2 linked regions of the Oryzias latipes genome follow. The protein of the gene in region 1 interacts with the protein of each later gene in a pairwise test. Links are inferred from orthologs where the notes say so. Each region holds a gene or a part of one and is shown on either strand. Other genes may lie near its edges.

Evidence for each region.
Region 2: the proteins of prmt1 (region 1) and hnrnpr interact in binary tests that used the Homo sapiens proteins (3 or more experiments, as listed by UniProt). The link is inferred for Oryzias latipes from reciprocal best matches to the Homo sapiens genes PRMT1 and HNRNPR.

Annotation. Positions count from the first base shown.
Region 1 is NC_019866.2:24,804,286-24,808,548, reverse strand, and holds the start of prmt1 (protein arginine N-methyltransferase 1), read left to right. Parts: upstream 1-1,335; 5' UTR 1,336-1,431; coding exon 1,432-1,458; intron 1,459-2,356; coding exon 2,357-2,452; intron 2,453-2,528; coding exon 2,529-2,684; intron 2,685-2,760; coding exon 2,761-2,824; intron 2,825-2,893; coding exon 2,894-3,036; intron 3,037-4,111; coding exon 4,112-4,199; intron 4,200-4,263. UniProt on the Homo sapiens protein: Arginine methyltransferase that methylates (mono and asymmetric dimethylation) the guanidino nitrogens of arginyl residues present in proteins such as ESR1, histone H2, H3 and H4, FMR1, ILF3, HNRNPA1, HNRNPD, NFATC2IP, SUPT5H, TAF15, EWS, HABP4, SERBP1, RBM15, FOXO1, CHTOP, MAP3K5/ASK1, MICU1 and NPRL2.
Region 2 is NC_019869.2:6,651,754-6,656,346, forward strand, and holds the start of hnrnpr (heterogeneous nuclear ribonucleoprotein R), read left to right. Parts: upstream 1-1,681; 5' UTR 1,682-1,851; intron 1,852-2,370; 5' UTR 2,371-2,374; coding exon 2,375-2,537; intron 2,538-2,620; coding exon 2,621-2,739; intron 2,740-2,817; coding exon 2,818-2,925; intron 2,926-3,027; coding exon 3,028-3,141; intron 3,142-3,776; coding exon 3,777-3,953; intron 3,954-4,099; coding exon 4,100-4,235; intron 4,236-4,321; coding exon 4,322-4,527; intron 4,528-4,593. Other genes in the region: ATPase inhibitor A, mitochondrial, read left to right, coding at 413-525, 604-745. UniProt on the Homo sapiens protein: Component of ribonucleosomes, which are complexes of at least 20 other different heterogeneous nuclear ribonucleoproteins (hnRNP). hnRNP play an important role in processing of precursor mRNA in the nucleus.

The sequences.
Region 1 (4,263 bases):
GCTAAAGTTTGGATGACAATTATTGTAAAATGGAAGTTACACCTTTTTTTTTTGATTGCAAGAGACTGGACAAGATTCACATTTACACTTTTATTGTTCATATTGTAATTTGTAGACAGACCATGTCATACCAACATAGAAAAAACCCACTGCAAACAGTAACACAAAGGGGAAAAAAGATAGGACAATATTCTGTCCAACAGTCCAGGCAGTGCAGTAGGAATTGGTGTGGTCTTCCTACACCTCTTGTCGTTCCTGTATGTTAGGCCACAAATTCTCATCCACATCACAGCGAATATCCTCTCTTGCAATGCAGCGAAATATGATTGTCACATTATGACAACTTGGTCAACCATTTTGCAGTTAATGACTTATACGATGAACTAATGACTAGGAGTTTTGAGGAGTAAGACTATTGCACAGTGAACTATATAATACATTTTGATCAACATGACATAAACAATTGATAATGTAGCAAAGAGCAGAGAATTGTACATAATCATTTGCATGGATGTACCAAAGCAATTGCAACTTGTTCAAAGAAGTGAGAAACTGCTTATATGATGTGCACAAGTGACATCATGATGTGAAGATTGAACAAATAGTTTTGGGAATTTCATTCTGATCTGACAATTGTACTAAAGCGACTGAAAAAAACTGTAATTGCTTAAACAAAAGTTTTCTTTTGCCAAATTGTGTGAAAGTGAGAAAATCGTTGAGTCCAAATCCCTTCACTATATAGTGCGTCTACAAATCTACATTTCAAAATCCAGGGCCCTAGAAATATCCCAGAAGTCTCTACGAAAAACCAGTGAGCATGGATAGATAGATAGAAAGATAGAAAGAAAGATAGATAGACAGACAGACAGACAGACAGACAGACAGACAGAGAGACAGACAGACAGACAGACAGACAGACAGACAGACAGACAGACAGACAGACAGACAGACAGACAGATAGATAGATAGATAGATAGATAGATAGATAGATAGATAGATAGATAGATAGATAGACTTTATTTAACAGTTTTTAATATTTTAACACATTTTGTTAAAATATTTTTATTTCATTTTTTTTATAAACCAGCAGTTTCATTATCATTACCCAGTGGATTCATAAATTGTCTTTTTAAAGTGTTTGTAGCATTTTTTTATAGTTTATTTTGGGAAAACGTTGGTAAATGTATAGTGAACAGGTCCTGTGGAGCCCATAAAATAGCCCTCACCCTCAGGAAGGTTAGTGATTCCTGCCCCAGATGGTGGTAAAAGGGGCAAAATGCAGAAAAAATGTCTCACGGGTAAAGCGGTATTTCCACCGTCTGTACAGTAGGTGGCGGTGTAGGCCTTCAACGCAGATTCAGATTAAATGTACGGAGGAAGAGAAGGAAGGACGGAGTAGAAGAAGAAACGGACTCTTCGCTGTAGATCGAAATGGCGGCGCCAGCAGAGAGGATGGAGGTGAGGTCTTTGAGCGGGAAAAACGCTCATTTGTGTTCGAGGAAACGTCCGCGAGTTTTCCCGCAGGCTCCGGAGCGGCGCTTCGCCGGTGTAGAGGGGGTGTTAGCGCTGGAGTTTCCGGATGCTGCCGCCGCTCATTCATCACAGTGTCGCATTTACGAGAAAAACAGGGGAAACGGTTAAACTCTTCAAACTGGCTTTTGTTTACGGTGGGGTCTGGTGTGTATTTTCGGTTCGACGCTGAAGCGACGGTGGGGGGGCGGCAGGCACGCAGCTGGCGGTGGAACCGGCAGAGCCTTCGGACCGCATGGAGACTAACGTGCTAGCTGCCGGGCTAATTAGCAGCTCGTGCTAACACGCTGATGCTGAGCTCGGATCCGCCGGACGTTAGTCTGCCAGAGTTTACGTTAAAACTCTCGATCAACGTGATCCACTACGGAGCTCCACGTGGGTCACTCCACCCGCGCGGTGCCGGTTTACCGGAAACCTGAACTAGCTTTTCTGTCGAGCCTGGAGTGGAAAACCGGCGAGCGGGTAGTCCCACTGTTTCATCCCGGACTAGACTAGAATCTTCGGTACCGGTTCTGCCGTCCTCTTGAGTGTCCCGGTCTCTGAGCTGGTCCAACAACAGAACCTTGTTCTGGAAGTTGGTCGTCACGTGTGGCTTTGTTACGACCGAACCGACGTTACCGGGTGGGGGTGGGGGGTAGGATAACTCTAACTTCCGGTGGTCTCATGGGGCATCGGGTCCACGTCCTTTGTTCCTCTGAGGCAGCGTTAACGGATCGGTTGTTTCTCTGTCTTCTGTGTTGCCTGGAACCGGACCGGCTCCTCGGCGGTTCCAGATCACGTGACTCCTTTGATCTGCAGACATTCATGGGGTTTTTCCTCCTTTGAGGTTTCTCAGGGAGAGAGCTCAGCCAAGCCTGCAGCTGAAGACATGACATCCAAGGACTACTACTTCGACTCCTACGCCCACTTTGGGATCCACGAGGTACGCCTTCGTGTCCCGTTAAACCTGCGGCCCCCGGTGCCCGCGTCCTCAATCGCCCTCTGCTCTGTTCCTGCAGGAGATGCTGAAGGACGAGGTCCGGACCCTGACCTACCGCAACTCCATGTTCTACAACAAGCACCTGTTCAAGGACAAGGTGGTGCTGGATGTGGGCAGCGGGACGGGCATCCTCTGCATGTTCGCGGCTAAAGCCGGAGCCAAGAAAGTCATCGGGGTAGGAAGGCGTGGACTCGGCTTGGCGGCGCCCGGTTGCGGCGCCTTGTCTCATCCGTGTGCTTCTGCCGTTACAGATAGAATGCAGCAGCATTTCTGACTACGCCGTCAAAATAGTGAAGGCCAACAACATGGATGACGGTGAGTCCACCGCCGTCCGGTGTTGACCGCTGAATGTGGAGGGAAGGTCCTGACCTCTTCTGTCTCTAGTTGTGACCATCATCAAGGGGAAGGTGGAGGAGGTGGAGCTGCCGGTGGACAAGGTCGACATCATCATATCGGAGTGGATGGGCTACTGTCTGTTCTACGAGTCCATGCTCAACACAGTCATCTACGCCCGCGACAAGTGGCTGGTGGGTGTCTCCTTCTGGACGTCAGCGCTTCCTCCAAACTAGTAACTGTAACCACTGACTGTATGTGAGACCTGGACTGAGGGAGCGGGACATGGAGCTGCATGGCATGAAGAAAATTAGCCACCAATATTGCAACAGACAAACAACAACAACAATATAATTGATATAATAATGAGATTTTTTAAAATAAGTCAACAAACTGTACTGCCAGTTCTGTCAATAGGAGATGGGTAAGCGGGTAAATGCCCCCATCTACCCGGTCAAGAACAGACTAGATAATTTGTGGTTGGGTGTGTTTTAAACATTTGTCTGACTGTGCATATGTGTCAACGTTTACGCCCTCTTTGCAATGCGGGATTGCTCAAGTTGATATGGCCATGTTGATTGTTTTTTGATTTTTTTTTTTGTGCAGGCCTAGAATTACGTCAAACGATAGAAAAGTTCAAAATTAAATTTTTTACGCTGCCATGTTGAAGCCAGACAATGTCAGTGAGCAATGATTGGTCTAAGTTGTTTCTATGACAACCAATCAGAAGAGAGCATGTTGGAAGGCCACACCCCTACCACTTAAAGTGGGCTACACGAAAATCTGTCAAACGTTTCTAACACAACCTACTTTTGAGGCTTCTGATTGGTCAGTTTATTGTTTGAACTACAGAAAAAATATTTAAATTATCAATAGATTGTTAGGAAAAGGCATCAGATCCAGAACGGTTCTTCTGACCAATAGAACACAGGACGAACAGCTGTCTGTTTCTCTATAGACGTCTATGGGACATTGGCTTCTTGGAGTCACTTCCTGTTTGGAATGCCAGAAGGGAGGGGTTACTCAGTCCAGTTCTCTGAAACAGTCAATGGTCTTAACAAAAGTACGACATTTCAATGATAAAAGTTTCTACCAAAGCTGAGCTGACGGCAAAGGTTGGCGGCTGGAATTCTGGGAATCCCTCAAAGATCCTCCTGGTGGCTCTAGAAAGGAGCTTCTGCTGTGAACACAGTCATGATCGGTTCATTGAAGATGTTTAAATGTAACCCCTGAGTGTGTTCCTAACACTCATGTCCCCCTCCCTCACAGAAGCCGGACGGACTCATTTTCCCTGACAGAGCTACTCTATACGTCACGGCCATTGAAGACCGGCAGTACAAGGACTACAAAATCCACTGTGAGTAGGTCACATGACCGGGGCGGGGCTGGCTCCGTCTCGGTGGGGGAGTCACGTTTGCGCG
Region 2 (4,593 bases), on another chromosome or scaffold:
CTGGATCTACGACATGATCACTACTTTTCTATGGTTTTAGGATCTGCAATCATCATAACCTTCTCATCGTCCATTGGTTACCTTTAAGACTTTTTGGAATTTTCTTGGAAGATTTTCCAAACGTATTTCCAATTCTTGTTTTATATACTCAACTCAATGTATAATAATTTTGATTGGAAATAAATCTGGATCTGTTGATTTTTAATGCAGCTTCTTGGAATCAACAATCACCAAAAACACCTGCTGTTTTATTTGCATGAAGAATTGTCATGTTTGGGGAATGTAAATAAAGAAACAGAATTTTTTTTGTTATGCAACAGTTGCCTAATTGAAACCAAAAAAAGTCAAGTTTGCTCGTTTTTATGGAAAAGCCACTGCATGCTGGGATCCTATGATGTGCCCTTTGTTCCAGCTTGGTGAGTTGGGCGGAGGAGCAGGGAAAGGTGGAGGTGGAGGAGGCTCTGTGAGGCAGGCAGGAGGTGCTTTTGGAAAGCGAGCGGTGGTGGAGGAGGAGCGGTACTTCAGGTAAGAAATGAAACAGGTTTTCGAGGAAAACTTCATGCCAGCGTTTCCCTTTTTGACAAGTATGGTTTTTGTCTGCAGAAAGAAGGAGATGGAGCTGCTGGAGGTGCTGAGGAGGCATCATTCGGAAGAGATTGAGCACCATAAGAAGGAAATAGAGCGTCTGCAAAAGGAGATCGACCGCCACGTTGGCAAGATTAGAAAACTGAAACATGACGATTGAAGTTTGCGCTCACAACTCTGATAGAAAGGGTGGCAACGTTGAAAACAATGTAAAGATAATTGACTATCTGCTCATTTTGGCAGTTAATGAAGCAAACGATTATCTTTTATATACGTTCCAAAATAAAATGATTGATTTTCTGTTGGTTTATGTTGATTTTCATTTCCCCTGTTTATGCCATCTCAAAATTTAGGGTTCCCGGTTACACCTGGACTCATTTTTTGTTTTTATTTTAAGCCTGTTATGGTGATGATATGGAGAGGTTGTGAACACTTCTGATGGCACAGCTGGAGATACCTGGTCTTATGTGATCTCAGCTGCTAAGCAAAGTCAGATCTGGATAGTCTTTGGATTGTTCTGTAAAGGTACCACAAGCTTATGGGGATGGATACGCTCCATCAGACCAAGAAGGGCATTTGCTGCAAAACTGAAGCCAAAACTTTCACAAAGGTCTGTCATTTCAGGCCTTAGCTCTGTCTGAGGGATTTACCCATTTAAGAAATTCACTCAGACCTTGTAAATACTTTCCTACCTCACTAAACCAAACAGGACAAATGAATAAACCAAATGAAACGAGGAATAATTATTACATGGATTAAATCACATTTTTAAAAGGGCAATATTTCAACTTTAATCGAAATTTACAATCAAACACCCCATCATTTAATCATAAAATAAATTACTAGTACTGGAAAAAATGTAAATATGTTGGTTTCTAAGTTATGGTGAGGAGATTGATTACACTTGTAAAAACAGTTTGATTTCCTTGTAGCCTCTGGAAATTTACACAATTTTAAAGCGGATATTACAAAACATAAAATTGAGAAAAATAAAAAATATTACAGAAAGTCATGTTTCCATTTTGAAGACCCAATGACACGAGCTAGATTTGCAAACCAACGTTGTACCGCAGACTCTCACATCTCGCGATGTTTCCCTCAGTGGCGTTGTTCGGGCGAGCCGAGACGAGACCGCTGCCGTCTGGAAAAAATTTGTCGTGTGGTAGACCTGAACATTCTTGGCATTTAGCATTTTCCCAACGCCCGAAAAAACAAGTGTTTCATATTTTTTCAAACATTTTCCAGCTAGTTTTCTAAATCATCCTGGTAAGTCTTGCTAACTACCCGTTTGTGCCTTTTACGGCGCGCGCGTGTAAAGGTGTCTGGGCTGCACGGCGAGGCCTTCGTGTTAGCCCGTTAGCTAGCTAGGACGTATTCTTGTGTACTGCTAAAATCAACACACATGGACTTTAATACTTCATTTAAACGAGTGGAACTTTTTGGATCTCATTGATGACTGTTTTTTTCTTAAGCTTTTAGAACATTTTGGGCCACGTAGTATTATAAATGAAAGATGTTAGCTATCGATCAGGCGCCATGTGAAGGGGGCGGTACTGTGGAATAAGCCTTTTAAAATGTATGAGCGGGTCGTTTTATTTTGAAAATCAGTAATAAATAACATTGTTTTTTATAATAATACTGACATTTAACGTAACGTTTTCGTTTAAAAAATCTTTGAGTTAAAAGCCAGATATTCCGTAATTTGATAGCTTGTTTCTGGTATGTCAAGTTGACAGTAAATGAAGTAATAAACTAAAACTGTTTTTATTCATGTCTATCTAACAGGAGAATGGCTTCCGCTGAGGTGAATGGTAGTTCGGCCCCAGTAAAGGAAGAAGAGGAGCCTATGGATGTGACTACAACTACAACTCACACTGAAAACTACCAGACCCTCATTGATGCAGGGCTTCCCCAGAAAGTGGCTGAAAATCTAGACAACATTTTCCAAACAGGTGGCTGGTTGTTGTTACCTTCAAAGCTCCAATGTGTTTGTTGTTGATGTGTTCAGTTTAGCTCACTTTGTCATGATGTTTAGGCCTGGTAGCGTATGCAGATCTGGATGAAAGGGCCATTGATGCTCTACGGGAGTTCAATGAGGAGGGAGCTCTAACAGTCCTGCAGCAGTTTAAGGAGAGCGATCTGTCCCATGTGCAGGTATTACACTCAATTATGTGCTCATCAGTACTTTTTTAAACAGTTTTCTAAAGTATCATTTGGTCTGTTTAATTGCAGAATAAAAGTGCGTTTCTTTGTGGAGTTATGAAGACGTATAGGCAGAGAGAAAAACAAGGCAGTAAGGTACAAGAGTCCACTAAAGGCCCAGATGAGGCAAAAATAAAGGTAAACGCTCTTGATTTGCAGTTTTTTTGGGCTAAGTTGAAATGCCAAAATGTTCTCTCAGTTACAAAGCTTTTCCCATTTTTTGATTGTTTACTTTCCAAGGCTCTCTTGGAGCGAACAGGATACACCCTAGATGTCACCACGGGACAAAGAAAGTATGGAGGCCCCCCACCTGAGGAGATGTTCAAAGGCACACATCCAGGGATTGGAACAGAGGTGGGGATTATTTAAAGAAGCATGATTACACATCCTGTTCGTTAAAGATCCACTCCGACCATCTTTTGATCTATTTTCAAAGTGTTCTCACTGGTCTTTTCATATCATTTGAAAAACAATCAAAAACCTGTGCAGTTTTCTAGATTATAGTTTCCGCAGAGCGACAGGAGTTCAGTAGAAATTCACCTGAGTGGACCGTTGCCGTGAAGCGCCCCCGCCCCCCTTTTCCCTTTGCAGAGCAGAGATGACAAATACAATCTTTTTAAATTTGTCTGCTCCTGATTTACATAGATTTGAATAAAGAAATACCCAAAAAATACAAATTTGAGCTAAATTTTCTTCCTCTATTTCAACAGGAAAACGCCACAAGATCAGTTTAAAATCGTTCACATACGCATGCTAAAACGAAATATATATACACACACATATATATATATATATATATATATATATATATATATATATATATATATATATATATATATATATATATATATATATATATAAAGCAGGTAAATAAGAAAGTTGAAAATAAATATGGATAGTTGAATTAGAAGGGAAATTGTTTTAATTTTATATAGAATTGTCATTTTTTTCATGATTGATTTAGTTTTTGTGTTTTGTCTTTCTTTCAGGTGTTTGTAGGAAAAATCCCCAGAGATTTGTATGAAGACGAGCTTGTGCCCCTGTTTGAGTCTGCAGGTCCCATCTGGGACCTGAGGTTAATGATGGACCCCCTTTCTGGTCAAAACAGAGGATACGCTTTCATCACATACTGCAACAAGGACGATGCCCAAAAGGCCGTCAAGCTTGTAAGTCCATTTTAAAATCTCATGGATCCCGTTGGATATAAAAGAAAGTGATTTTGTGGAAGAATAGTTTGAGCAAATGTGTGTTTTCTTCTACTGTGTTTCATTACTTTTCAAGTATTTGCTGTTTTTTGTTTTTTTGTTTTTAGTGTGATAACCACGAAATCCGCCCTGGCAAGTATTTGGGAGTTTGTATATCTGTTGCAAACAACCGGCTGTTTGTTGGATCAATTCCCAAAAACAAGACGAGGGAAAGTATACTGGAAGACTTCGGCAAGGTTACAGGTCTGTTTCAAGTCAATGATTGTATTTGGAGAAACCCTTTCAGTCGGTTGTCTGTCGCTGACGAGTGATGCGGTTTTTCTTTGCAGAGGGTCTTCAGGATGTGATTTTGTACCACCAGCCAGACGATAAGAAGAAGAACCGTGGCTTCTGCTTTCTGGAGTACGAGGACCACAAGTCTGCAGCACAAGCTCGGCGGCGTCTAATGAGTGGGAAGGTGAAGGTTTGGGGCAACCCCGTCACCGTTGAGTGGGCTGACCCTGTAGCTGAACCCGACCCAGAGGTCATGGCAAAGGTGAGCTATTTTCCTGTTCAGAAATGGAAGTACCTGTACCTGTAAAATGATTCTAAGACATACTCT